Linked DNA regions of Notamacropus eugenii. The protein of the gene in region 3 purifies or fractionates together with the protein of the main gene of each other region. This does not show direct contact. Links are inferred from orthologs where the notes say so. Each region holds a gene or a part of one and is shown on either strand. Other genes may lie near its edges. The genes, in order: MAPK8IP1, DUSP16, MAPK9 and DUSP8.

Evidence for each region.
Region 1: the proteins of MAPK9 (region 3) and MAPK8IP1 purify together in Homo sapiens (affinity purification with western blotting; 4 studies listed by BioGRID and IntAct, counting the BioPlex papers as one, with this or other methods). This does not show direct contact. The link is inferred for Notamacropus eugenii from reciprocal best matches to the Homo sapiens genes MAPK9 and MAPK8IP1.
Region 2: the proteins of MAPK9 (region 3) and DUSP16 purify together in Homo sapiens (affinity purification with mass spectrometry; 6 studies listed by BioGRID and IntAct, with this or other methods). This does not show direct contact. The link is inferred for Notamacropus eugenii from reciprocal best matches to the Homo sapiens genes MAPK9 and DUSP16.
Region 4: the proteins of MAPK9 (region 3) and DUSP8 purify together in Homo sapiens (affinity purification with mass spectrometry; 4 studies listed by BioGRID and IntAct, with this or other methods). This does not show direct contact. The link is inferred for Notamacropus eugenii from reciprocal best matches to the Homo sapiens genes MAPK9 and DUSP8.

What each region holds. Positions count from the first base shown.
Region 1 is NC_092877.1:4,983,766-4,990,861, forward strand, and holds the start of MAPK8IP1 (C-Jun-amino-terminal kinase-interacting protein 1), read right to left. Parts: upstream 3,006-7,096; 5' UTR 2,843-3,005; coding exon 2,736-2,842; intron 1-2,735. UniProt on the Homo sapiens protein: The JNK-interacting protein (JIP) group of scaffold proteins selectively mediates JNK signaling by aggregating specific components of the MAPK cascade to form a functional JNK signaling module. Required for JNK activation in response to excitotoxic stress.
Region 2 is NC_092874.1:198,461,540-198,468,961, forward strand, and holds the start of DUSP16 (dual specificity protein phosphatase 16), read left to right. Parts: upstream 1-4,412; 5' UTR 4,413-4,868; intron 4,869-5,574; exon of another isoform or gene 5,575-5,775; intron 5,776-7,422. UniProt on the Homo sapiens protein: Dual specificity protein phosphatase involved in the inactivation of MAP kinases. Dephosphorylates MAPK10 bound to ARRB2.
Region 3 is NC_092872.1:415,957,437-415,965,156, forward strand, and holds the start of MAPK9 (mitogen-activated protein kinase 9), read left to right. Parts: upstream 1-4,716; 5' UTR 4,717-4,888; intron 4,889-7,720. UniProt on the Homo sapiens protein: Serine/threonine-protein kinase involved in various processes such as cell proliferation, differentiation, migration, transformation and programmed cell death.
Region 4 is NC_092873.1:26,331,251-26,338,467, forward strand, and holds the start of DUSP8 (dual specificity protein phosphatase 8), read left to right. Parts: upstream 1-4,216; 5' UTR 4,217-6,818; coding exon 6,819-7,184; intron 7,185-7,217. UniProt on the Homo sapiens protein: Has phosphatase activity with synthetic phosphatase substrates and negatively regulates mitogen-activated protein kinase activity, presumably by catalysing their dephosphorylation.

The DNA.
Region 1 (7,096 bases), on a different chromosome or scaffold from region 3:
GTGACCCCTGGGAAAGTCTAGGCTGTCTTTCACTAACTTGCTATGCAGCTTTGGGCAAGTCAATTAGCCTTTGTTTCCCCATCTGTAAAATGAGAGGGTTAAACCAGATAATTGTTCTAGTGCCTTCCAATTTTCTAATGCCCTGACATTATCTAATAAGTTTATAAGTAGCTATGAAAAGAGAAATTAATTTAGTGTCAGGATATTTGGATTCAAAATCTAACCTGCCACTTACCAACTCTGTAACTGTGGGCAAGTCATTTAAAGGAACAACTTATTTCTATTGATTTATAGGAGTCTATTCGTTACGGAACAGATGCAAGTATTATTCTTATTTTACAGATGAGGAAACTAAGGCTCAGAGGAGCCATTTGTCCAAGGTGATATCAGTAATTGGTTGAGCTGGAATTTGAACTTGGGGCTCCTAACCCAGATCTACACCACAATGCCATGAAATCTTAATTGTGTCTCAATTTCCTCAAGTGAAAATTGGGGTGACAATACTTGCTCCTCCTAGTTCACAGAGCTGTGAAAGAAATACTCTATTGACTGTGAAGAGCCTGGTGTCACAGCTACTGTAGGGATAAGGATGGGGGAGGGAGAGGGTCAGGGAGAAAGAAGTTGAGAGGATTTGGGAAGTGAGAGCAAAGGGATGGTGGAGGGGAAAGGGCAGGGAACAGCTTAAGTACAAAGTGTGGCTGATGCCTTGAAGCAAGAATCTTCTGCCTTGGAACTTGGTAGATCATTGTCCTCACACACAGCTGTCTGCACCCCACTTCCTTCTGTGCAGATGGGCTCCACAGAGCCCTCCACAGTCTTTATCCCAGGCCTCCAGGTCGGGGATACTATCTGGGGACCCTACAGGGATCCACTCCATGACCTCAGTCTCATTAGCAATGAGACTGCCACTGTGGCTCAGGTGCTCCTCTCCACTCCCATTCCCTTCTCCAGACTGGAAGTCTCAAGGGCCCCTGTGGCTGGAAGGCACCATTAGTGACCCTCCTGGGGGCCTTCAGTCTCTGACATGTGCTAGCAGGAGGAGACAGACACAGACACAGGAACCTTCAGGCACTGGGCCCCAGCTGGGATCAGACTGCCAGGCGGGGGTGGGGGGAGCTAGTGTCCAGGGAGAAGGGAAGGATTATTAGCAGGAGAAAGAACAATGATGTTTATTTGAACCTTTCTCCAAGGATCTCCAAGCACTTTGAAGACGTGCTGCTCACTCTCATAAAACTCCTGAGGTTGGGGTTGGGGGCAGAGTGGTGGTGGTGGAGGAATGACATTATTCAGTGACTGGAATTCACACCTCCCACTTATCTGAACACACATACGCTTCCTACTCCCCGTTCCCCCCTTGACCTATACCCTATATGTTCCAGGGTCTGTTCCAGGGCAGGTCAAAGAAGGAAAGAAGTTCCAGACATAAGGGTCTTTTATAAGAATCTTCCAGACCCAGTCCAGGCTGAGCAAAAAAACCCAAAAAACCCTCTGAAAACAACTTGACCCTTCTGATCCTGAACCACCTTCCCAGGATTGCTTGGAGCTGTCAATGATGGGGGTAGAGGAGACAGAGAAAATAGCCTTCTCTCTCCTCCTTCCTCTTCCTTTGGCTATCCTCCCCAGGTGAAATGTCTGCTAAGGGACCGAGCTCGGCCCAAGTAGGAGAGATTCCCTAGGTCTGGGTCCAGTCGGGAAGAGCTAGGATAGAGACTGGTGGTGCAAAGGGGGTCCAGAGGCTACCCTGACCTCTCTTTCTTTCTCACAGAGCGGCTGGGGAGAAAGTGGTTCAAAGAACCTCTGTCTCTCTCCAAGGTGCTCAAACCTCTTTTTACTCGATCTCCCGCCATCCGAGCTCCCACTCGGTCAGACCCATTTGGGGAAGTTGTCAGGCCTCCGGGTACCTCAGAGATCACTCAGGGAGATTATATCTAGGGCGCTCTCCCTACTCTCCTGGGGCCCTCCCATCATTATAGGCTCCTAAGATTTAGAACTGAAAGGTATCTTAGAGATCATTTGGTCCAGTCCCTTAGATTGATGAGGAAGCTGAGACTCAGGGGGAGTGACTTACCCACGGCCACACACAATGAAAGAGCAGAGCTGAGTTGAAGCCTGGATTTTCTTACTCCAGATTCAATGTCCCCACCCCCCAGGATGTCTAGGTTAATCTTCCTTCACCTCATATACGGTCAGACGGAGGCCAGCTTTGCCTAGCACAGACCTCATCTTCCCCATAGTGGTGGTGGGGGAGAGACAAGGACACGTGGCTCTGAGGCCCCTTCATTCTAAGGGCCAACCACCCGCCCAGAGCTTTTTCTTTGGGTTGGGGAGGCATTTGCCACCTTGGAACTCCTGACACCACCAACCAAGGGATAGCCGACCTTCATGTGAGCTGGCGATCTGGGTCGCAGGCCCAGAACCTCCCCACCACGGTAGAAGACCCCCGCCCACTGACCCCACCTCCAATTCTGGCGGAGAGGAAGGAGGACCCAGAGACAGTCTGGGAAATGGCATCCGGAGTCCCCTTCCTCCTCCTCGGTGCCCCAGCCTCTCTACCCGAATACCCACCCTCGCCCCTTCCAGTCCAGCCCCAAGGCGGAAAGGACTTGCTCCTGGGGTGGGGGGAGAGGCCGCTGCCCTGGGTAAGGGAGAAGGGGATCCCTAGTTACCCCGGGGTAGGGCGAGCAGCGGAGAGTGCATGGCGGGGATGCGCGCCCTGGGCCCCTAGCGCTTCTCACCTGAAATTGGGAGGCGACACGATATGCAGCCCCAGGAACGGGGAGGCCCCAGGCGTGGACGCGGCGCCCCCGCCCCCGGCGCGCCCGCCGCTCTCTCGCTCCGCCATTCTCCCGGCGCAGCCCAGTCCATCCGGGCGGGCGGAGCGAGCCAGAGAGGAGGAGGAGGAGAAGGGAAAGAAGGCGGAGGAGGAAGAGGAGAAGGAGGAGGAAGAGGAGGAAGAGGAGGGGGAGGAGGAGAGAGAGGGGGAGAAGGGAGAGGAGGAGAGAGAGGAGGAGAAGGAGGAGGGAGAGGGGGAAGAGGGAGAGGAGGAGGAGGAGGGAGAGGGGGAGGAGGAAAGGGAGGGGAAGAGAGAGAGAGGAAGAGAGGGAGGGGGAGGAAGGAAGGGCGGAGAAGCTGCTGCTGTAGCCATCAGGCTCCCGGAGGGGAGGAGGAGGAGGAGAAAGGGGCGGGACGCACCTGCGGAGGGCTCGGCTCCCGAGTCTGGGGGCTGGGCATCCGCTACCAGGCAGCGCTGGGTGAACTTAGGGCAGCCGGGGACTTGGTGAAAGCAGGGGCTGGAGAGGGTCGCGGCGTTGGAACTGGCCGGGTGGCAGGGACACCGAGGGACCTAGAGGGGAAACTCTCTCCTCTCCTCCTCGGCACTCCTGCTTCCTCCAATAGCGCGGGGTAGCGCCCCCGCCGCCGCTCTCCAAGGTGCTGAAGCCTCCCATTCCCTGGTTACCTGCCATTCTCCACCCCCACCTTGTCCACCGTATTTTGGAGTTGTCAAACCTCAGAATATCTCAGAGATTATTCCCATCCCTGGGGGGGGGGGGGGGGGGGGGGGGGGGGGAATGCAGAATTACTGAGATTTAAAAGCCTGTTGTTTATGCGGGACCTGCACAGTCTCCTACCACTGGATCTCAGATGGAATGGAAATAGCCCCAGGTCTGGAACCTCGTCTCTGCCTCTCACTCTCCATGGGACCCGAGACAGGTCCCTTTCTCGGTCTGGGCCTCAGTTTCATAATATATAAAATGAAGGGATTAGACTACACCTTCTCTAAGATTCCTTCACTTTGGAAGCTGTACAGAGAAAATGAGAAAAGGAGGGGAGGCAGGGCAAAGGTCATCCAGATTCATGTCTTCCCACTCGGACCCATTTCTTCCTCAAATACCTTGGATAATATTTGGTCCCAGAAATCTGGACTCTACTATAGGCTTGAGTGTTAAAGGCTAGAAAGGACCATAGAAATCAAGTCCAACCCCACTTTACAGAGAAATGTGGGCTGGTACAACTTGCAAGGCCCCACAGTTTAAGGGGTGGGAAGGCTGAGTTGATTCCAAGGACAATGCTCTCTCCCCTGCATCAAGCTTCCTCTTGCCCCCCCTCCCCCAGAGTGTTTTCTGGGCCTCTGAAGTCCCCTTCCCAGCCCTGACCCTTTCCCACCTCCTAGCCCCAGATCAGTCCCAGACTAGAGACACTGTATCCTCTCTTTCCTAATCCGAGCCTCCTCTGACTTCCCCACCCCCAAGGCTGTCAGCAATGTCTGATTTTCTCACCTCACCGACTCTCTCTCAGCACCTTGATAGCATTTGCTCCTTGTAAAGGGCTCTTCTCTAGGCTAACACACTGTCTTCTCTGCCAGGGCACAGGGTCTGCCTCCTGAATACCAACCCATTAATTTCATGATCTTCTGAGTTTCATTTCTCTCTCGGGTTCTCCTACCTCTTAGCCGTTTGGGATTTTTTCTGAGTTATATTTTCCCCCCTTTTCCCCCCACTGACACAAAGCCTTGGCTGAGTAGCTCCTTCCCAGTATACCTACTTTGGTTCTTCCCTCTCCAGGGACTGGTGCCTATGCTGTTTGGGCCCTTGGAGCTCCTAACATCCCCTTGATGAGCTTCCTATGGAAATTCATCTAACAAGCCAGCTTATTGCTGTGGGTGTTGGCAAAGAGCAGAGCCCCTGAAGCCTGTACCAGGCTCCAACCCCACAGGTTGGATTGTATCTTTGGATCTCTTTGTCATCTCAGCATCCACACCTCCATACCCCCATGTGCCCCAGAACAGCGTCCTGCTTTCTCCTGAGAAGTCTGGCCCCAGAAAGCACCTTCCCCAGAATTCCACCCGAATAGGTTTCTGCTAATAGAATAAATGCTGAACTTGAAGTCAGATCTGGTTTCAAATCTTGTCTTTGCCACCTGTTTCTATGGTCCTAGGCACATAACTACATCTTTTGGGGCCTTAGTAAAGTGAGAAGGCTGGACCAAGAGAGATTCCTTCCACTCCTAAACCTAGGAATTCTGTAGGACTTGAATGTTGTAACCTCATCCCTTCCTTCTGGTGTCTGTTAGGATCCCCATTGCCTACTCGATGTGCAAACTCCCGATTCCAGCATTCAAAGTCCTCCCCGAGCTGCTTTTTGGCCTTAGCCCACTTTGCATCCCTTCAGTCTCCATCTACACTGACCCCTCAGGTGTCTGTGCTTCTGCTCATGGTCTCATACCCAGAATGGACTGTTGGCTAAGGCTAACTCAAGTGACACCTTTTCCTCTGCAGAGCTCTCCAGTTGATGCTGACCTTGTCCTTTATCCTTGTCGTTTGGGTTCTTGTCCTTTCTACCCTCTGACTGTGGGCTCTGGGAGCTCCTTAGGCACAAAGCCGATATCCTACTTTAGACTATGAAGGCCTTGCTTAGTCCCTGGTATGTAATAATTGGTGCTTAATAAACATTTGTTGAGTTGGTTGCTTGGCACAAATCCCCACAGATACCTGCTCCTCGGATGTAACACTGCTAAGAACAGTCAGACTGAAAGCATCTGCAGGGAATATCCATAGGATCCAACTCCTTGGGTGGCCCACTCCTCTCATCCTGAAGGCTTAGGAGAGGCCCTTTTCATGGCATTGCTGCTAGAAAATCAGGCCCGCCTCCTATGGGCCTTCTCAGCCTCTGTAGTGGGATTCACGCATGCCAATGATTATTTCTGGATGTATGGGTATCCTGGAATCTGGACCCTGTGAGGCCTTTTGGATGAAATAGGGAGGTAAGGATTTCCTTCCTTCTGGGCTCTATCCCCCACCCATTTAGGGCTTAAACTGGACTTTATGCTCTAGAATCCAGATGAGACACAGATCAAAGGAAAGCTAGCCCAAGGTTAGTTTAGAAAGCGCCATTGCTCAAAATCAATGCCAAGAGTGGGGGAAGGACACCATCATCCCCACTGGGCTATGCCTGGCATCTAAGGGCCAGGGTTTGGCCAACCCAACTTATCACAGTGACTAGAAAGTTGAAGGCTGGGTTGCCAGAGCACTGTGCCATGGCACCACTGGACCAAGACCAGAAGCATGCCATCCTATAACAGTGACTGAGGCTCCTCAGGCAGGTGCTGAACAAACTTTTCCTGATAAAGTTTCCCAGCAGGTGTATCAACAAGGCTGCAGCAATATTCATACCGGGCCAAAGGCTAGTACAGAAGCATGCCAAGACCCCACCACTCCCCGTGGGGATGCTGAATTCAAGGTTCTCAGACTCCAGAAGAAGCCATGGATTCCAGCGACCCCTTTTCTCTTCCCTTGAGGGTGCTATGGCTCTACTAAAGTATCCCACCCTGGATTCAGGCTTGCAGTTAAGCAGGATTTGCCTTCCCACAATTTAGAGTCTGGAGAACAACCTTCTCCATCAGAGTAGTGGCAGCCTTGCCCACCCCCACTCTTGGCGGCTGCTAGAACAGATGGGACAGGCACAGCACAGGCAAGGTCAGACGTTTATAAAACAAAGATATATTTTACAGGCAGACCACGGGAAAAACACCATACCTTTCAAACACAGAAGTCTCTGTGCAAAGGGCACTGGGCCCATTGCCATCAGTCCCCATGGTTCCCTTAGGAATGAGCTGGGGAAAAGCTTGGGGCAGTGGGCCCCAGAGGCAAGTCTAAGGTAGAGAGGAAGGAGGGCTAATCCAAGCCTGGAGAAGGCTCATCCTGCTCCATCTACTGGTCAGACTGGGGACAAGCTACAACCACCAATAAATTAAGGAGAGGGTGGGGTAGAGGAACTGGAGGTTTTGCTTTCTTCTTTGGGGGGAGTACAATCTTTGAATGAGATGGGGAGGGACCTCGACTCCCACTCTGAGGACCCATCTTCTTGCACATTTGCCATGGTCCACACACCATCAGGCTGGTCTGTGTCCTGTCAGCAGAGAGCTTAGGGCCCCGTTCTACTGAACCCCACTTCCCACTGCTCCCTACTCTTACGACCCACTCTGGGACAGACAAAGGGCATTTCTAGAGGAAATGAGCAAGGTAACAGCTGAAGGGTGAGGGCAGAAAGGAGGCCCAAAGCTGTGGGGGAAGGTCAGGAGGGGGCAGTGCATGAAGCCA
Region 2 (7,422 bases), on a different chromosome or scaffold from region 3:
CTCCTGGAGGGTGGGATGGGGGAAATCATAGGATTACAGGTGTCCATTGGGAAGAACTGAAGTTTTGAATGCTGTGGATAAATTCATTTAACCTTGGTAGTGTACTTTCCAAGGATGTAAGCATTGACAATGAAATTGACGCACATACTGCCAGAACTAGCTCAGTATTCAGGAGGCTCTGAAGGAAAGTGTGGGTCAGAAAAGGTCAGAAGACTGACCACCAAGCTGAAGGTCTGCAAAGCCATTGTGCTGATCTCGTTGTATGCCTGTGACACCTGGACAGTACACCAGTGCCCTGCCAGGAAACTGAATTGCTTCTATTTGAATTGTCTTAGGAAGATTCTGAAGATCACCTCACAGGATAAGATATCAGACACTGAGGTCCTTTCTCAAACTAAACTGTCAAGCATTCACACTCTACTACAGAGAGTGTGGGCTGGCCATGTTTGAATGCAAAAAGTACATTTGCCAATTCACACATGGCAAGCACTTCCATTGTGGTCAGAAGAAGTGATACAAAGATACTCTTATGGTCTCTATTAAGAACTTCAGGTATTGATTGTGTGACATGGGAGACACTGGCATAGGACTGCACAGCATGGTGTGCCCTCATCAGAGAAGGTGCTGTGCTCCATGAGGAGAGCAGAATTGAAGTAGCTCAAAAACAAAAACAAAAACGCGAGATGCCTAAATTTATAGAATCCACCCCAAATGGGCTATCTGTGCCTGATCTGTGGTAGAACATTCTGAGCTCATGTTGGTCTGATCAGCCATGGTAGGGCACACTGTAACTTGACTCTAGCATAGTGATGTCATTTTGATCCTCTTTGAGAATGAAACAACCAACCAAGAGATCATCTAGTCTGATACCCTCATTTTACAGATAAGGAAACTGAAACAAGTGAGGTTAAATGATTTTCCCAAGGTCAAACAGGTTACAAGTGGCAAAGCCAGAACTTGAAAACAGGTCCTCTGTTTAGCATTCTAAGATTTAGCATTCTTTCCATCAATAATCATGGCCTACATCTTATATTTCTTGGCATTGGCTTGATAGCATCTCTAATTATTTGTTGAATGAATGAGGTATAAGGTTTAGGGTTCCAAGGAGTGAGCCAGTTAATGTAGGAGAGTCAGACCACAACCTATGAAGAGTGCTCCATTAATTTGTCCTGGCTCTTCCCCACATACTGCTTTCTTAGCTTTGAATGTTGTTCATCTACCTTAAGTTTATCAAGTGTTTGTCTTTTTCTGTTTCTGGACCAGACCTGTAGAAGTGGTGGGATGGCTCAAGTGCTATACTGGACAAGTCATTTAATGTCTTTCAGTCTCATTTTCCTTATCTGTAAAGTGGGGACAATAACATCTACTTAACTGAATTGTTGTAAGACTCAAAAGAGAATACATATATGTATATTTATTCACATATGTATATGTTTATATATATATTTTTATGGCACAACATTATTCTATTACATTCATATACCACAATTTGTTTAGCCATTTCTTAAGTGATATATGTGTATGTGTATATATGTATATATAGTATGTAAATAAAGATGTAGATACACATATGTAAAATATGCTTTGCAAATTTAGATCATGCTTCACAAACCTTGAAAGTGCTACATAAATGTTGGTTATTATTATCAGCACTTGCTTTGCAACTTCTATATAATTTTAGAGTTGCTTAGAGCACAGAGTTTCAGGGACTTGCATAGGGTCCCACAGCTAGTATGTACCAGAAAAGCGTTTTGACACCCATCTCTACACCTGAAACCCCCCATTTTCCATAGATCCTTACTTAACCTTTGTTATTACTGTTCAGTCCTGTCTGACTCTTCCTAACCTCATTTGAGGTTTTCTTCGTAAAGATATTGGAGTGGTCTGCCATTTCCTTCTCCAGATCATTTGACAGATGAGGAAATTGAGGCAAATAGGGTTAAGGGACTTGCCCAGGGTCACCCAGCTAGTGTCTGAGGTCAGATTTGAACTTAGTAAGATGAGGTTTCCTGACTTTTGTCTGGCACTCTATCCACTGCCCACTTCTTTAATCTAATGGATTTGAAATACATCTGTTTTCCAACCACTTTGTGCTGATGCTTGGAAATGAACAGGGCTGAAGAAATTCTGAACCAGCCTTTAGATCTGAGAGCTCCACAAGGTTCTCTATGGTGTACCTTTATTTCCACTTAAGTGAGGCTGAAGAGGCTACAGTGACATCTTCTGGCCACCAGGGGCCATGGACATGTCAGTCAACTTGATGGTCTTCTTCTCTTCCCCTAGCCCTGCTCCCCCTTTAAGTTAAGTTTTTTTTCACTTCCTGCCTAGGGAAGGACCAGGCCTTAAACCCAAATCCCTCTGGCTCTCACTGACTGGCCCAATAAGTTCCAGCCCAAGCCTCACTTGGTCCCTGGGTTTTGATGGCTCAGAATGAGTGTAAAGAGCAATTGTTCCTGTTTTGGCCAGAAGCTCTGAGGGTCTTCCCCTCTCAGACTGATTAAAATAAAAAAACTAGGTAAAATAGGCCATTGTCCCCTCTCCTCCCCTTTCCTTACCTAGCCTTAATCACTGAATGGGTGTTCTGTCAGACAAACTGAGACTTCAGAAAGACCTTAGCTTAAAAAGGTCAAGGTCTCCCCACTGCTCTGGAGCCATCTCCACTTGTCCTGGATGACGGCTCTGGAGCAAACAGTGAGGCTGGTGACTTTGCACAACCCCTCCCTCACTTAAATCCAATTTACTGCCAAGTCAAGACATCACCTTCCTAAGGTCATCCGTCCCCTTTGAGAGGTGACAAACACTAACACCACCGCCTAGGAAAGACAGTTTTGATGTTCCCCCAGGGACTGGCTCAGTTGTTAAGGACTAATAGTAACCATCTAGTCGGTGAGTTTATAAAAACAAACCTTTCCTTACTCCTTTGTCAGCCTAGTAAGTTTCTCAGTCCTTTCTCCCATTGAAAAAAGTCCTTTAGGGAGTTATGCCTAGGAATATCACATAACCAAAGATGTGCTTGAGGGCCATTATAAAGGCAAATATGTTCTATGAGCCGGATTTTCCCAGTATATAAATTCTTTGGGAATACAGTTGGCTTGCCTGGAATCCCCCGTGTGTCCTGGGGCACCCCTTAAGGCGCTAAAATGATACTCTGGGGGTCCGACAGCATTGCCGCACCTTCCCGAAAGTGCCTCACGTAGTCCTCGGGACGACTTTCCACGCCCGGCAGGACCTGGCTCCCGGAGCGGAGCGTCTCCACTCGCAGTGCGCTTCCCAGCCGTCCATCGCATCTCTGTCACTCGAGATCCAGGCGAGGACTCCGAAGTGCGCCGAGGTAAAGCGCAGATTGACCGACTGAGCGGTCCTCAGCCCGGGTCTGTGCCGCCCCGGCGGGTCTCCAGCTGTCCGAGGATCGTCGCAGACAGAAGGCAAGACAAGCCCATTTGGACTTGGTTGTCCTTTTTAAAAAGCCTGTTCTGGGGCGCTTTTGGAGGAGTCTGTGTGCGCGGCGCCCTCCGCCCGGAGACGGCACACCACCGGTGTCCTTGACGTTGTCAGGTGTATGCTTACTGCCTGAGGATCATTAAAATGTGTTACTTGCTTCTGCCCCGTGAAGGACAGCAGCTTGGGAAACCTGGGCTGGGGGTCTTTCACCTTACAAACAGCGGTGGTTTGAGAAGTTTGGCCGGGGGGGTCCGCAAATAAGAAAACTCGAACGGGAAGCAGTAACATGTTTGTTTTAAAGAAACCTTTGGGATTTATGGGTTTTTTTGGGGAAAAAAAGATCTGGCTCCCAAACGTAAACTTCCTTGGCGTTAAAGAACCCACTGAAAACACCCCTGGAAAACGAGGAGGGCAGGGGAACATCCGGGGACCATCCGTCCTCAGGGCAGGAAAGCCTAGGGGGCACGGAGGGCGCCGGGACGGAAAGGAGGAAAGAGAAAGGGAGGAAAGGAGAGAGGGAGGGAAAGAAGACAGAAAGAGGCGGGAACTAGAGGGAGAGAGAAGGAAGGAGAGAGGAGCGACGGATTTGAATAGCGCCTCATTGTGCAGACAGGCTCCTCCCCGCTGCCGCTTCGGAACCGAGCGGGGAAGGACGGGGCCCGTCGCCGCGCCCAGCCCGGTGCCGCAGGGGAGACGCGCCGCTCTCCTCGAAGCGCCGAGCCTCAGCCCTCAGCCCGGGCTCGGGCCGCGGCACGGGGGAGCCGGGGGAGCCGGGGCGGCCGTGTCCGCGCCGCGCTGCGGGCTCTTCCTCCGCCTGTCCCCTCCTTTCCCCCGGGCTCTGCTGAGTTCATTCACTGGGATTGGTTTCAAGTGACGCCATCGCTTTATTTTTAAACCAATGACCTCATCCTCGCTTGAAGTTTCCTGACCAGCGACTCTTTCTCTTTGCCCCTGGCCCTTCCCCTCCCCCTGCCTTTCTCCCCCACTTCTGGGTATCACCGTGTTTTTTTCTGGGGGAGGGAGATTTAATTATTTTAGGGAAACACTCTCATTGCCCACCGCCCCCTCCCCGGACTTTCTCCGCGAGTCTCCTTGGGCTCCCGAAGTTTTCACCCTCTCGGACTTCCCTCTGAACTCCGGGCAGGTTGGGGGGTGGGAGAAGAGGAGCTGCACGTTTCCTCCCTTTTCCCCCCTCCCCTCGCCGAGCTCGCGGAGGAGAAGATAATAAGGGAGAGGAGGAGGGGGGGAGGAGGAGGAGGAGGAGGAGGAGGAGGAGGAGGAGGAGGAGAGGAGAGGAGAGGAGCGGAGCCGGGCCGGCGTTGGCGGCGGCTCCTCGGAAGGGGAAGAGCCCCCGGGACACGGACGGGTGACAACTTTCGTTTCTTCCCCGGCGAGCGAGGGGAGCGCCAAAGAGAGGCGGGGGAAAAGTAAGTGGGGTGCCGGGGCAGACGGCCGAGGGGGAGCGGAGGGGGCCGGGCGGGGGGCCCCGGGCGCAGCCGTGCGCCCGGCGGGCGGCGCGGGCCCAGCCTGTGCGGCGCGGCGCGGCGTGGACCCCTCGGGGCGGGCGGCGCGGCGGCGGCTCTCGGGGTTTTCATTCACTTTTCCCCTCCCTCCCCCCCTTTTTTAGAGGTGTCGGGCCGGGGAGGGACCCGCAGGCCTCGCCGGGGGGTCCGCGGGGTGCTCGGCTCCCGGGGCTGGGCAGGGGCCGGGGAGGGGGGTCCCCTCGGAGCCCGCTGCCGGGAGGCGCCTCTGCTCATTTCCAGGCGCGCCTGTTTGCCCCGCGCTCCGGTCCGCGGGCGAGTCCCGCGTGGGTCCGGCCGGGGAGGACCGGAGGGAGGGCAGAGGCGGTCCGGATGGTCGCTCTGAGGGGACCCCCGGCTCAGGTGGCCGGCTTATGTAACAATAACCGTGACTCCCGTTTGTAGAACCCTTCGGAGATCGAGCTCCTTCCTCCCCTCCCTCCCCCCAGTCCTAGCCCTGGCTTTCCCCCCTCGGTCCATCGACCAGCCTAGAGTGAGGGCCTACTGTGTGCCAGGCACCCGGCGGGCTCTGGGGGGCGCCCTCGGGGAGCTCACGTTCCCCGGGGGTGTGTGGGGGGTGTGGGCACGCCAGAATATACAAAATATTTACCGTGTCAACACGAAGTAGTGGGGCTGCCCGGATGCAGGTCGGCTGCCCGTGATGGGGAGGGGGCGCGGTGGTGGAGCTGCGGGCATCGGCTTAGGCGCCCCGTAGGGGGTGGCATTTAAAGATTTAAAGCTAAACTTTGAAGGGAGGGAGCGATTCTGTAAGGCGGAGATGAAGAGTGCCTTTCGGCCGTAGGAGACCCACAGCGTGAGTAAAGACTCGGAGGTGGGAGATGGGTAATTTGGCCTGGAGCAAATAAATACGTGAAAGGGAGTAAGGTAATAATTCTGGAAAAGTAGCCCGGAACCAGGTGTTTTTGGAGAGATTCAGATGCTAAGTAGAGAAGTTTGTGTTCTAGAGGTGGATGTATTTGTAACTCTGACCAATGAAGAAGCAGAGGTGTTTGGTTTATTCTTAATGGAGGCTAGTAACTTTGGAAAAATAAGACTGAGTAGTCTAAAATATTTTGTTTTAGCAAGATGAACGGTTAATGAAAATCTTTTTTAAACAATCTATAACCTGGTCCTCACAGAATTTTGTGAGTTAGGTAGTGTAATAGTCCATTCATTTTTTTAACTGGCCAGGGGCAAACATCCTGGTGTTTTGAAGTCATCAGATGGGAATCCCTAATTTATTTTTTAAAGAAATCTCTGGAGCGGAGAACAACCTGTTGTACAACCTGGTTTGGAGAGAGTTCTGGGCTACACCAACCTTGAGTCTAAGGGGTATAAGAAAGTGCAGGATGTAACCTTTGAAACCTTTTGCCTCTCCAGGATTCTGTTTGTGATGATTTTTCACTTTGCCCTTAAAAATGAAGAAAACTCATTCAGAAAATGGTCAGACATTTTGTCTTACTGATTTTTATTTTAGTAGAACTTCATTTTCTAGAGGCACTTACACTGGGAAAACATGCTGGGAGAAGAATGCCTGCTTATATGTTGGAATTTATAGGGTTGATTGTGTGTATCATAGAAATACAACCTTTTCTTGAAAGTATGTAACAATGCCTCATCTTAGGTCAAAAAACCAGTCATTTTCCCATTCAAGTTCTAATTGAATTAACCACATTAGCAAATGGACACTAATCCAGACTTACAGGTCAGTTGATGTGACATCTGTGGATGCACAATTTAAGTAGTCATGATTAAGAGAAACTTACTGATTGTGTAATTGGCAGAAATGGTAGTCGGAAATAATTGAATTTCATTGTAAAGTGACTTAGCCGGAGGACTGCACTTTTTTGTTTTTCATAAAAGCATTTTTTCCTAAGTCGAGAAATTTATCAAGTACAAAGACTTTATATGAAATGTTAGTATTTTTGCATTTTTATTACATTTAATTTTGAGTTGCAGCAAAGCTTAAAATACAGTCCCTAAATGGAGTTTATAGATAAACCAGTCAGTGCTTACTGAATTGACCAAAAGTTCACAAAGGAAAAAAATAATTTGAAACTGAGGTCCTTATTTCTGTTGATAAAATAAGTAAATATAAATAAAGGAAAAAGTGATTACTGTACATTGACAAAGTCAACCCAAATATCAGCAGTATACATTCAGAGCTTAACTTATTATGATCATACTAATATAGTGTAGAAAAGTCTTCAGACTCTGGGCAGTGAGACAGTAACTAAAAGTTGAATGTATTGTCTTTTATTCTTGACAATATATATGTTTCATTTGGGTGTTTCTCTTCTAACTATTGGAATATCGCTATTCCAACAAAGTATTATTGGATAGGGAGAGGGAGAACAGAAGAGTAAAGTTTCACAGTTCTACCATCCTGGACTGAACCTTGGCATATCCTTGTTCTTTGGTGTAAAGATTCAATTCAATTCAGTAATCACTTATTAAGCAT
Region 3 (7,720 bases):
TTGCTTTTTGAGGGGCTTAATTGTCAGTAGTTCCGAAGAGATACTTTTATCTGTATTGGGCTTTACTCTTACTCCAGGAGACTACTTGCAGCTTTGATCCGTAATTAGCAGGTTTCTGCCAAAGCTGAAATGAAAACAGAAACTAAGCACAGCTGTTGTCTCAAAGAAGGTGTTAAGTAGAAATCCAACTTCCTGCCTCTCCTTCCTTTTCTTTCTTTAATCAAGTGATCAGAATTCAAACACCTTACACTTCCTCCCAATCTCTTTGCTGTCTCAGTATCTTTATTATACAGTCCAATATATGCACATAAAGGTGTCTTTGTTTGAATCCTTGTGGCATCCTAAATGTAAAACTTTTGAAAAGTTCCAGTGTTCCCCTTCTTCATGCTTTTGGCTCTCACCCTTCAAAGGCCCTGACTTTCTTTTGGGGGAGCTGGCACTGGGAGAAACAATCATTTATTAAGTGCATGGTGTCAACCTGAAATTGTAATGAAAACAGTCAATACAACAAAATGGAGGTCTTTAATCGGGACAAAGGAGTTGTGGCTTGCAGTACTGCACAGCAAGTGCTAGGGTACCCAAGGAAGGGGGCTGGGAACAGAGTTTACATAGAATATCAAGGCAGAGAGAATGACAGTGGTCACTGGTGGAAGGGGTTAGGTATCTCACAGTATCACCAGATAATTTGTTTTCTATACCATGCAAAGGTCTTAAAGAAAGGTACGGAATCTGAAGAGGGGAGAGTTTAAGAGATTTATAAAATAATCAGAGGCCAGAGTGACAATGTTTGGTCAGCCCCAGGCAATTCATTGGCTTGGGAACTTAAACCAGGTCAGGATCAGCCAATTCTCAGTCAATCATGCTTGTCAATGGCATCATGCCAAGGGTTTATTTAATCCTCACAACACCCCTGCCAGGTAGGGGCCATTATTATCCCCATTTCACAGCTGAGGAAACCGAGGCAACCAGAGTTAAGTAACTCGCCCAGAGCCACACAGCTAGTGAGTGTCTGAAACCAAATTTGAACCCAGGAAGATGAGTCTTCCTGACTCCAGGGCCAGCACTCTGTACACTGTGGTGCCACCTTGCTGCTCCCTTTCTATTATATGGCAGAACAAAACTTCTCTTACTGTTAGGTGGTCTATAGATGTCTTATTTCATTTCAATCTTGAATCTGAACTACTAGACTATAGTCTTTCCTGGTTTTCAACACCAGCCCCAGGGACCTCACTATAACCATCTTCTTGTCATGGTGTGCTTGACTGCTGCCATGTACCTTCCTAACCTGGATTGGCAGCTTCTACTCAACTGACCCATTATGACACCTATCTGATGTACTGCTGTACCAGTCCTCCCACTTTCCACCTCTTGTCTGGGAACTGTAATCAAATCAATACCATCATTGCTTACAGAAAGAATTCAATGATTGATCAAGTCTTAGAAATGGCTTTCCTGCTTTTTAGGGAAAGAAATTAGCTTAATCTACAAGGCAGAGACTCTTGTAGGTACTACTTCTACCACATTTGGCTAGATGGAATGTTTTATTCTGTTTTTAATAAACTTCCCTTCTCAATAAACCTCTGCTCCCCCGGGGGGGTGGAGAAACAACTTTGTATATATTTTGTTTTTATTTAAGCATGTACATGTTGTCCCTTCTCTGCCAATAAAATATAAGCTTGAGGGAAAGGATTGCTTTATTCTGTCTTTGCATCCCTTTCACTTAACATAATACCTGGCACGTAGTAAGTGCTCAAAAATTCTTGTTGTATTGTCCATCCTCTAAGGCACTCTCCCATCTCTCCTAATGACTTAGTCTTCCTCTCTAATTCAACACCAGCCTTCATAGTTGGTGACCAGTGTTCACATTGATGACTCATTTATCAACCTCAACTTCCATGACTATTTTTAAAGGTCAAGTTGGCCCTTCTCTTTGAAAGGTCAACCCCTCTATATTCAGGCTACAACCTTCCTTTCCAGCCTTATATCACATCCTTCTCCTTCATGAGTTCTGCTTCTTGTCCAAATGGACTACTTACTGACTGTTCTGATTTAATCGGTGTGGCAGTGTCAAGGTAATGGATAGAGCTCTGACATTGGAGCCAGAAAGATTTATGATTAAATCCCAACGCAGTGACTTACTAATTATATGATCATACAACATAGGCAAAGCACTTAACCTCTCTAAACCTCAGTTTCCTCACATGCAAAATGGGGGAGGTCATACTAATCTCACAAGGTAGTTGTGAGGATCAAAAAAGATGACACATGTAAAGCATCTTATAAATATTCTTAAAGTGTCAGGTATTATTATTATGTATCTCAGGCCAACTGCCATGTCTAAAATGCTCTCCCTTTCATTTGTTTGTTCATTCATTCATTCAGGAAGCATTTATTAAGCACCTCCTTTGTGCCAATCATTGTACCAGGGTTGGGGATTCACAACAGAAAGGGAGCAGTGTTGGCCTTCAAAGAGCTTATATTCTATTGGCTAAGGAAGAGCATGTACACAAAAAGGCAAATACAACATATTTACAAAGTATTCTTGGGGGCTCATGGGCTCTAGTAACTGGAAGGTGGCACTTGAGCTGGGTTTTAAAGGATGCCACAGAGTCTTTGGGACAGAAGTGAGGAGAGAATGCCTTCCAGGCATGGAGCATAGCCTAAGCAAAGGTATGTCTGAGGGAGATGAATGTATGGGAAATAAAAAGTAAGCCAGTCTGGCTGAAATATAGAGTGCACATAGGGAAGTAATGTGCTGTCAGCCTGGAGACTTAGCTGAAGCCAGATTGCAAATCACTTTAAAAAGCCAAAAGGAAGAGGCTGTATTTTATCCTAAAAGCAACAGGGAGCCACTAAACCTTTTTGAGCAGGGTAATACTATGGTCAGACCTTTACTAGTGCAGGTGGCTCTGGACAGAGTGCTCTCTCTGCAGTCAGGAAAGCCAGAATTTGAAACCAGCCTCAGATACTTATCAGTTATGTGGACCGGGGCAAATCACTTCACCTCTGCTTGCCTCAGTTTCTTCATCTGTAAAACAGAGGATAATAATAGTATATACTTCCTAGTGTTGCTTTGAGGATCAATATTTGTAGAGCACTTAGCACATAGGAGTGCCTGGCATATAGGAGGTTCTATATAAATGCTAGCTATTATTATAACATTAGTAATATTTACTTGGCATCTATGTAGAGAATATATTAGAGGAGAGACTGGAAGCATGAGTCCAATTAAAAGGTTATTGCAATAGTAGAGGCAAGAAGCGATGAGGGCTTGAACCAGGGGTGGCTATGTAAGTAGATAGAAGGGAATAGATTTGAGAGATTTTGGAGGTATACTCAACAAGATTTGGCAACTTATTCGATTTAGGGGGTGAGGGTGAAATCAAAGAGTAGAAGACAGAAAATTTGTATGGACTGATACGGAGCTAACAGAAACAGGAGAACAATTCATCCAATAACAGGAATATTATACAAACAAAAAACTTTGAAAGACTTAGTAACTCTGTTCAACACAATGGCCAACCACAATTCCAAAGGATTCAAGATGAAACATGATGCCAACCTCCTGATAGAGAGGTAATGGATTCAAAGTATATAGACTGAGATTTATTTTTAACTTGGCCAATGTTGCTTGATTATTCATGTTTGTAAGAAGAGTTTTTGTTTTTCTTGCTTTTTCAATTGGGGGAGCTCCGGACATAGGAAGGAGAAAAATGAGGATCTGAAAATAAAATAAAATTTAATTAGAATTTTTTTTTACAAGAGGATGAGATTGAAGCCTCAGGTGTCTGAGAGAACAGTGGTTCCTTCAACAGAGATAGGGAAAATAGGGACTCAGAAGGGTGGGGGTGAGCAAGGTGGGAAGGAGGGAATTAGGATTTGAAACTAAAATAAAATTTAATTAGATTTTTCTTAAAGAAGCCTAGGAAATGATTTTAATGTGGAAGGCTTGGGTGACTGGGAGAAAAGAGAGACCATCAGTTGTTGTGTTCGTCCTTCGTTTTTTGAAGAGGACCATGACATCAATAGGGAAACACAGGTGGCATGGGGGTAGGAGGGAAGATAATATGATGACTTCTGTTTTGGACATGTTGACTTTGAGGTGCTTGAAGGGCATATGATTTATATCCGGTTGGCAGCTGGTGGTACCAGACTAGAGCTGAATACACAGGTGAGTACGTGCACTGTATAAATTATGTATACGTATATTGTATATAATACATGCGTATTCGGTTCGAATCTTTCCTGAACTCCACCAGCTGCCCATAGGCTATCATCTCTGCGCAGAGATCATTGCTGAATCTATGGAAGCTGATGAGTTCACCAAGAAAACAGGTAGGGAAAGAAAAGCAGAGAGAAAACAGTCTTGTCCACAGCAGGCGAATCATCGATGCGGGTCGAATGAATGAGCTAACCGGCAGGTAAGCCCACTGGGTTCAGGTGTCTACCTGTTCCCACACCGGCTAGGTGACGTGGGCCTGGCTTGCCCTCTCTGTCCATCAAAGGTGACGGGATCAATGTTCCCTTCTGAGGAGGGTTTAGAACACCTGCCAGCAGAGGTCCACGGCCCCCCCTCCAGTCCAGCCCAGGCCAGCCACACCTCCGGCCAGAGGCGGCCCTCCCGGCAGCCCCGGCTCCAGGGCCCCGCCCTCTCTCAGGATTGGCTGCGCCGGGCCTCGCTTTGCGCTCAGCGATTGGCCGCGGTGCCCGTCGGTCCGCCGAGCTGGGCCCCCGGCTGCTGAAGACGGAGCCATGAGCGGAAGGGCCTGAGCTCGGCTCCCAGCTTCGGCTTCGCACCCACTGCGGCGGCGGCGGCGGCGGCCCGGGAGCTGGGGCTGAGCCCTGAGCGCCGCCCGCCCGCCGGCCCAGACAGCCGCGGGGAGGGCAGGTGAGGCGGCAGGGAGGCGGGGAGTGGTCGGGCCGGGGCGCGAGCCCCGGACGGGGAGCCGGGGGCCGGGACCCGGGACCCAAGGCGGGTGGGGAGTGAGGCGCCGGGTCCTCCTGGGAGGAAGGGGAGGGGGCGGAGGGAGGGCGCGAGCCTTCGGCTGGGCCCGGGGGGCTGCGGCAGCCGGGGCAGGGCCGGGCGGGCTGCGGGCCCCGGGAGGCCGGCTGCTCCTGGCACCGCGCCCCGCTCCTCCTCCCTGCCCGGAGAGTGCCGCATTCTGTCTGTCGGAGGCGCCGGAGGGACCCGCGCCCGTGCCAGCGCCGGAGCCGGGCCAAGGCTGGGTCCGGGGCGCAGCATCGCGAGGCGGGACCCCAGCGCCGCCTCTCCCGCCCCGCCTGCCTGCGTGACCTTGGGCCGGCCCCTGCCGCCTCCTCTTTGGCACTCGGTAAAACGAGGGGTTTGGCCTCAACGATCCCAAGACCCCGCTAGCCCCAGATCTTCGCATCCCATCCCCCTTGGGGCTGCGGGACACCCAGGTACGCCTGTGTGCAGCCCTGGTGCCTCCCTTCCCAGCTGTCATTCTTGGGCTTCCTCTTTCCCCCTCCCCCCATCTAGAGCCTCCCTGGGGACCACTGCCTCCCACTCCACAGTCCTGTGCTTGATCTTGAAGTGCTCGTGCTTTTCATCCCTCCCTCACACTCATTCGGTGAAAAGGTAAAATGAGGAAAACATACCTGTCACCTAGACTGAAGCCTCCTCTCTTCCCCCGATTCTTCAGTTATCATTGAAGAATTGCATAGCATAGCAGACTCAGCCGTAAGTGACCCTATTTCACATTAGTCCTAGTGTGTAAAGTGTTTGACTTCCAACAACCCTGGGAAGTAGGTAGAGCTCGAGTTATTCCCATTTTACAGAGTAGGGAACTGTGACTCAGAGGTCTTAAATGATATGCCTGAAGTCACACAGTTTAGCAAGACGCAGAATGGAAATCAAACCCTGGTCAGACCCTCTTGGCATATCTCCTAGGAGCCTTACCATCCACCAGTTTCTCAGACTCTCTGTGCTGAACAGTATTTGTAGAGAACTGGAATGAGGGACTGAGGCCTTAGGCAAAGTTGTATTATTGCTCCTGTGGACCCCTCATCAGCATTAGTACATTTTAAGCATCTTGAATTAGATATTTTCCCAGTTTCTTCCTAGGGAACCTGGTAGGCTAAGTGAGTGAGTGAGGCAGAAATGTCTTCCAGGAAGAACCTTGTCTGCTCATCTCAAGCAGAAATTTAGGGTTGTTTAACAGCAGAAATGATTTGGCTCTTAATTGAAATATCTTATTTCAGACTAACTTTTATGTGGATTTAAGTAAATGACCTCTTAAAATTTTTCCCCCCTGTTCTGCCTGATTTGTTGCTACTTTTTAGATCCTGATACATTTCCTTTTGTTGGTAAATTTCCAGAACCAATAGTGAGATGAATGTTAACACTGACAATCTTTTAGCCAGTAATTTGCTACAATTCAAGAAAACATTTAACCCTGATTCAGTTAAGGTTCTTTATTTTTACAATGTAATTTTTTTTCCTTTCAGAGGTCTTCCTTATAAGTTAAAAATCCCATTTTAGTGGTCTTCCCTGGGGAAATTTTGATTTTCTTGAACATGTCATTTTATTCTCAAACTGTTACCAATTTAAATAAACAAGATCAAATTATCAGACCATTTAAATATTAGGTAAATTCATATTTGTCTCAATAGTAATTCAAGTCACATTTATTCCATTTCATAGCATTTGAAATTCATTGACCCAGATGTCACATACAGAACATTTATCAGTCTCTATCAAAGTTTCCAGAGCTAAGCACAATTCAGGCTTTAATTTCAACTTCTTTTTTCTTTATAATATTTACTGGTCTAACAGTGGTGAGGCCTATTTTCCCAAGCATATGAGAAATAGGATATCTTTTTTTTACATACTTGCCTTAGTAACTGAATTGTAACAATGAATAGATACATGTTCTTATATGCTATTAACTGTACTAAGAATCTAAATAATTGTCTAAAATCTTGTGAAATTTTGCCAAGTTAGAGTAGGGAAGGGGAAGGAATTCATGCAGATTTTCTATTGGCATTTGAGTTTGAAAAGTCACATCCCCTTGAGAATAATTCACCTATTTCCTTAACACTTGAAGAAATTAAATATTGAATATTAAAGTAGCATTTGATGTACATTTAACCTTATTTTAAATATTCCCTTATTAATCCAGGTACTTCCTCATATTATTTTTATAATTTCTTATATCAACATATTTTGTTAGGATGACTTCCTTAAAACTCTATCTGCCCCCATAGTTCCCTATAAAAAGTTAAGCAATGCTACCTAATATAGTGGTTTCAATTGACAATACATGTCATTTTCTATTTTTGTGGTTTATTGTTTAACAAAAATTAAGAATACATGCTTTAATTTTAATAATTTGAAATCAACATTGTCTATTGTATTTAGCTTTAGTTTTGCTGCCTTTTCGTGTTACCTTTAATACACAATGACTTTGGATCATAAATTTAGACCTGGAAGATACTTTGAGTCCATCAAGTCCTGTTCTTTCATTTTACAGATGAGGGATCTTGTAAATTTGGCAGGGATTTGGCTTTCTTGACTAAAGGTATTTCCACATTGCACTGAATTTTTCATATGTTTTGTTTCCTTCTGATGTACTATCTCACTACATTTATATACCGAACTTCTTTCAGCCATTCCCTAGTCATTGGGCACATAGTTTCTACTTTTTAACTATTGAAAATACTATTACTAGGAATATTTTGGTACATTCAGGTTCTTTCT
Region 4 (7,217 bases), on a different chromosome or scaffold from region 3:
TAGTGCTGGGTTGTCCCTACAGCAGAGGGGGAACTAGGGCACACGTGTGTCTGTGAGCCTTCAGCTGGGTGGAGGGGTCCCTAGATGTGAAGTGAGGGCCTGTATGACCCACCTTGGACAAGGAGCCAGTGCTCTCTGGTCTCAGGAGCCCCTTCTTTTACATGAGGGATGAGCCAGCTCAAAGATACCACCCAGCCCTGACACTTACTGTGCACCTCTGCTTTGGTGTGGTGCTGAAGCGGACAGTGGGAGATGGACTGGGATGATCTGGATGGTGGGGCATGTTCTTGTTGTCCAGGATGTAGGTGTGCAGAAGGTTCCTGCGAGGGCACGATCTAGACCAAGGGTCGGTCGAGGGGAAGAGATCATGGGGCAGTGTGTCTCTGCTTCTGGGGAAGGTCCCTTGGGCTGATTCTTGGCCCCCAGCCTCCCTGCCCTAGGAGGGGCCTTTGCACTGCTGCAGTCCTAGGTCCTCCGTGGCTAAGAGGCATGAGGGGCTTTGTCCCCTCCCAAGAGACACCTTTTGTGGGTGGCATGGAAGGGGGCCAAAGGCCCGTCTGAGCTGGGTACTGCCTAGCAGTTCCTGAGAGAACTATAGAATGGTAGGGTCCCCAGCTTGGGCCAGTCATTTTTTTTTGGACGTTTGTCTAGGACAGACCTAAATTGATCACTAATGGATCCTCTAACACTTCTGCACTAATAATCGCTCTCCTCTGGACCCCTGCATGGGTTGACCCAATCGAAAAAGGTAGGACTGGAGCAAAGGTTGGCTAGGGTCAGGACAGGCCCAGTAGAGAAGCTGGAAGGAGACCCCCACCCTTGAAAGCTGGAGAAAAGAGGCTGGCAGGGCTGATTAGAGCAGGCCTTGGAAACCCTTCAGAGAGCAGAGCCTTCAAGAGTAATGACCCTGAAGTCTGGCAGGCTGAGGATTTCAAAGCACTTTTCTCATAAGAGCCCTGAGAAACAAAGGATATCAGAATTTTTCTTATTTTTCAGAAAAGAAAACTGAGGCTCAGCGTGATTCAGTGGCTGGCTTACCCAGGGCCTTCCAGCTAGCCTACAGTTGGGACTCAAGGCTGCCCAAGATGGGTCATGGATGAGAGATGTTGGAGGCAGGGAAGTCAGTTTTGGAGGTTGTTGGCATTGGATAATAAAGTGGTGAATGATAGAAGGGTTGGGGGGGGGAAGACTCCGCTCAGCGTTCCACATCCTGCCCATGCCTTGACATTGGCCATTCCCTCCCTCATCACCTGGAGAACCCCTCCAGCCTCCTCGAAGGGACCTGCTTCTCACCACACCTCCTTCCCCTCTCCAGATTACTTGGAATTGACTTCCCTGGGACCAGCTTTGACCATTCCCCAGAGCCCCTGGTGAAGAGGCTCCCCCGACCAGTGCAGGGTCAGTCTACAGCTTGGTCTTGGAGAGGAACCCTGGGACACACAACTGGAGACAGACTCAAACCCCATGCTCAGCGATTGCCTTCCTCTCCAACAGTCGAGTCTCTGTCCCTGACCCCCCAATGGGATGGAAGCTTATTGAGGCTCTTCTCCACTTTGTCTTTGCATGCCCAGCCTGGAGCACAAGGTGCTTAATCAGCACTCCTGAATGACAGGCTGAGGAGCCAGGCAGTGAGGAGCCATGGAACATTCTTAAGCAGAGGAGAGCCTTGATGAAACTTTTTGTATTTGTTTCTTCTGCATGGGTGGAGCTCCTCCTACTGTTCCTCTTGTGTTATATCAAACTAGCTCCTCTGTATTTTGACTTGAGCAGGTCCATGGGTGTCAGCATCTCTCTCCCTCATTTTAGCTCAGAGGACCTCCCTCTTGCAAGACTCTGGGAAAGTCTCCTCAGGTGCAGCCCCTCATGCCTGTCAAGGTGTGGCTCAGATGTCTCCCAGCCTGCCTGGCTCAGCTTGACTCCAGTGGGCACAGGGCTACCCAAATTGTACCAGACAGGACCATTTAGGCTTGAGCTCAGAAACTTGTCCTAACCAAAAGATCTATGCCAAAGAGGTGGGAGGGGGAAGGGGGGAGGTGGTGAGCTCTCCTCTCTGGAGGTCTGTGCTTGTCAACTATTGAACACTGGAGGCAGAGGTGTGTTCCTCCAGGGCTCTGTGCTAAGACCAGCCATTCACATAGGAAAGGAAGCCTGCTCCTGCCCTCGATAAGCTGACATGCCACTGATGAGGAAAGGCAGGGAGACATATAATTACATGTACATTCATATGTCTATACATGGGACACATAAGCCAGCTTCTGACTTGGAGAATGAGGAAGGACTCCTGCAGGAAATGCTGCTCCTCCTGGAGCCAGGGCCTTGGAGAGTCAAGGCTGGGGAAGAGGGCACGTGCCAAGCACAGAGGCAGCATGAAATAGGAAAGAAAAGGGCAGATGTGAGGAGCCACAGGCAGGTGCATTAGAGAACATGGAAGGGGAGAGATTCCAGTCATCAGCCTGGATCCCAAAGAGGAATCTGGATTTGATCCTGGAGACGCTTGATCAGGGGAGCCTGTGCTTTGGGAATCTCTACATTTCATGTGCAGGGTGGATTCTTGAGGGTAATAGCGAAGGTCATTTAGGAGGGAGGCCCATGTGCAGTGCCACTGGTAGTAGTGGGAGAGACAGACAGATCCAAGATGAGCCACTGGGGTGGAAACTAAATACATGGGGAAGAGAAGCTGAGACCCCAGTGATTGGAGGGATGCTGGCGCCCTTGGCAGAATCAGAAAGGTCTCGGAGCAGAGAGCTTGGGGGAAGGCTGGGGGCTGCCAGTGGCCCCCCCACTGCATCCTCCTGCAGTCCAGGCATGCTGGCATGAGGAGGCTGCTGCTGTGGTTGCTATGACTACCACAGAGGTGCTAACTTGCTAATGAGTCCCCTTGGGCCACAAATAACAGTATATATCCCAGTTAATTGGCCCAGGAAAGATTCCTTGGGACTACGCTGGAGGGCAGAAGGGAGGCCAAGCCTGGCCAGGGGACTATGGGTTTAGCTGGGGGGGAGGAAGTCACTTGGGATAAGGTCATCTTCAACAGAAGAGGCAATGGAGCTTTCTTAGGGGGTCACAAAGTTGGGATTTGAATCCAGACCCTTTACTCTACCGATGACATAGACCAGGAAAAGCCTGAAAGCTGAGGTCAGCTCCTGCTGTCCACAGCACCAGGGTGGGCACTCCATGATGCACAGCTGCCATCTTGGAATGTTTAAGGACTGAGCAGGCTCAGAGGGACAGTCACAACCAGGGTCCTGGTCAGAGACTCCCCAGTTCAATCCTAGAGGTGCTGACTCATCAGAACTCCTCTGGGAATCTTTTTGTTAAGTGCTTGGTTTACAGGAAGGGGGAATGGGCAGCAGGAGAGGAGGGAGAAGGATTACCATCTTCATGGAGAAGGGACCAGGTAACACAAACAATTGCTCCTGCCCTAAAAGGACTCCCATTCTCCTACAGGACATCCCAAGTAAACACAAAAGAAAGTAGGAGGTAAGTTTTCAGAGTGCTAACCCCACCCAGAGAAGGGCTCTTAGAGATGCTGAACCCTGAGAAGAGCTAAGGAAGGAAGGTCAGGAGGGGTGGAGCATAGTACGTGGAAAGGAGGGGTATGAAATCAACTTGGCTAGATCGGTGGGTCCAAGATGCTGAGGGGTTTGAATTTTACCCAGGAGACAGTAGGGAGCCAGGGTAGATATTTGAGTAGGAGAGTGACCTGGTCTGAATCTTCTGTAGGAAGATCTTTGGGGCAGCTGTATGTAAGATGCACACCAATTCCTGCCTCACATCCAGGAAAGAGGGGATAGGTGTCTGACAGGGAGTGGTGGCCATGAAGGAAGCTAGAGATGATGGTGAATACTGAAGGTGTTGTGTACTTGACCAGTCTGGTACCTGCTTGGGTGTTGGGCTGAAGCCAAGGGAAGGTCGCAGGTGATTCTGAGGTTGAGTTCCTGGAGGGCTGGTGGTGCCCTGGGCACAAAGAGGGGGTCTGGACAAGGGGCAGATAGGTGGCAGTCTGGTTTGGACCAGAATGTGGGACCTCAAGTGGAATGGCCAGCAGGGAGCTGTTGGGGTGGGCCCTGGGTTCTGGCTGTATTAATTTAGGTATCACTGGCATGGAAATGATCATTGAACCCATGGGAACTGGTGAGAACCAGCTCCTTGGGCAGGAGGAGGGAGTGAGGGGTGGGGGAAGGCTGGGGGGGAGAGAAGATATTTGGGGGTTGAGGTGAATGAGCTCAGCTGTGTTTGTTATTTTGGTTTTTAAATTTTACTTTATTTTGTTTCCAAATGAGAATCTACCTCCTCTCTCCCCTACCTTCTTCATCTCTCTCACTTTGTGAGCTTGTTGAGGGCAGCCCACTATCTTTTGTCTCTCTTTGTATCCCAAGGGCTTGGCATACAGTAAGGGTTTAATAAATGTTTTCTGATTGACTGACATCCCCAGGGTCACAGCTGAGCCAGGAGGCATCAAAATTGGCATATGAGGTCAAGGCTTTCCCATTTTCTGGTCTGGGTCACTTTCCACTGTACTCCCTCTTCTGAGCAGGGTCTGGTCTCTTCTCTTTCTGGGCGTCACTTTCTTCCTCTCTAAAATGAGGTGATTAGACAGCATGGTCCCTGAGGCCCATTTAGCTCATAAAGGAGTCACTCTGGAGACCCTTCTTGGAGGACCCCCAGGAATTCCCAGGGCCTCATGAGGAAGAGACCAGAACCATCCACCACCCAGAATAGGCTGCCTTGTGGAAGTGAGCTCTCCATCCCGCTGAGTGCTGGTGGGCTCCCTGGCCTTGTCCAGCTCTGAGAATCTGATTTAAAAGGGAGGGGCAAGGGGAGGGAGGCCTCCATTGCCCCCATCTCTGAGGATCCAATTAAACACTGTTTGTAAGGCTTAGCAGCACAGTGCTTGACACATATAAAGAGGTGATATTATGATGATGTTGAAAGGAGAGCTGGAGGGCCCCCTCAGAGCCATCTGTCCTTCTACTTGGGCTGTGCTCAATGCCTGCATTTCCAGGCATGCTCCCTGCTCTTTAGAGCCTGGCTTGAGGTCAGCAATGCAGCATCTTCTCTCTTTTCTCCTCCCAGTCTTGGGAGGAGACAAACTAAGTCTGTCTTGCCTTGGCTTTTTGTTTTGCTTGGACTTCTCTGTGAATAATGGAGGAGAAGCCCCTTGAGGGCAGGGACAGTCTCTGTTTGGCCCTTATTCTCCCTCCTATACACACACGTTAATAAATATTTGTCCAGTGAACGCCTCTGCCCGTATCCATTTGTTTGCCAAATCTCTGTCGCTCTTTCTCTGTTTCTGTCTCTGTCTGGGGAGGGGGAGAAGCAAGAGAATGAGCATTTAGGTGGCACCTCCGAGGTTACTGCCACTGTGCTAAGTGTTTTTAACAAGCCTCCTGTGCCCATCTTCTTCTCCCCCCCCCCCCTCCTCATCACCTCACACCTGGACCATTGCAGGAGCTGCTTGGGGGGGAGGGGGGCCTCCTGTCTCAGTCTATCTCACACTTAGCTCAAAGTGACCTTCCTAAAGCAACCTCTGACCTTGTCACACTGCTTTGTCGCAGCCCTTGCTGAGCCTTGACCTTTCTGTAGTCTTCTGCACCCTTATGTGCATTATGTGTGTCCCCAGAGGTTGGCAGCCACAATTATCCCCATTTTATAAAGGAGAAAGCTGAGGCAGAGATCGCTCAAGTGCCTTGACTTTGACCACACAAGTGGTAAGTGTCAGAGGTACAAGCCTCCTGACACCTATTCCAAGCCTCACTCAAGGGCCCCTCGGCAAGTCCAGTACCTCCACTTTATAGAGGAGGAAACCAAGGTTCATGGGGGTTAGGATGGAGTCCAAGGGCAGCTCTGCAAGGTGTACACAGCCACCCTTTCATGCCCTCTCTGGCTCCTTGGCTCCAGCCCCCATCTCCATGCCTTTGTCCTGGCTCTCTTTCAGGCCTGGGGTGCTCTCTTCCCTCCCCTCTGCTTCTAGAATCTTTGTCTTCCTTTGGGGCACAGTAGCATCACCTCCTCCAAGAGTCTCCTGGCTTTGGGTCCTAGCTGCATCTCCACCTCCCCACATTGTGTGTGTGTGGGGGGTGGGGTGGAGGAGGGAAAAGAGAGAGAGATCAGAGAGAGAGAAAGCAAGGAAATCAGGTGCAGGTTTGCCAGCCAGCCCAGGGATAGCTGACTCAGTGTGTCTCCTCTGGGCTCGGGTGGTCTGTGTGCTGAGTGTGGTAGGTGGCCTGATCATGGGCACAGGCTCAGTGGGTGAATGAGGTGGGGGAAGTGCAGGCATTCCTGGACTCTCCAAGGCCCACCAACCCTGCTGAGGTTGGAGAAGAACCCCTCAGGCTGAGCTTGGCAGGGCTGGAAGCCTCTGGGCACTAGCAGTTCTCCGAGGCTGGGCCCTCCCCCTTGGGGGGGGGGGGCGGTCCTGGCCATCCCGGCACAGAATTGAGGATTAGAGGTTTATGCTAATACTCCAGCCTGGTCACCCTAGGAAGATTACAGATTGCATTAACTGCAGACTGCCAAGGGATCTTGGTAGTCAAAAGCCTGGGGCGGGGGCAGGTCAACCTCAATTCCCACCCCTACCTCCTGGTTTATGGGTAAAACAGAAGGGAGGAAAGATGGAATAGCTTGTGCCCTCCCCTCGGAGCACCTGGGGATACACCTGGGCTCTTCCTAGGCCTCTGATCGAAGGGGCAGACTCCCCACCTCACTGGGTGACTGGCTGAGTCTTGGCACTGTGGCAACAGCCTCCTCCTGGTCTCTGGCTCAGGGAAACCTCAGAAATCCTGCAGGCAGCTCCCCAGCCCCACTCCGACTGCTCAATGGTGAGCGGAGCCCAGGAGCCCAGTGGGCCTGGCCAGCTGCTGATGGCTCCCTCTTGTCCCTCTCTGCAGGTCTGGCACCATGCGCAGCCATCCTGGCCTCTAGCCACCCCTCGCCCACGCCCCAGCAGCAGCATGGCTGGGGACCGGCTTCCTCGGAAAGTCATGGATGCCAAGAAGCTGGCTAGCCTTCTGCGCAGGGGAGCCGGGGGGCCCCTGGTCATAGATAGCCGCTCCTTTGTGGAGTACAACAGCGGGCATGTGCTCAGCTCGGTCAACATCTGCTGCTCCAAGCTGGTAAAGAGAAGACTACAGCAAGATAAGGTGTCCATCACAGAGCTCATCCAGCCAGCGTCCAGGCTGAAGGTAGGCAGCCCCTCCCTGCTGGGACAGGAGCAC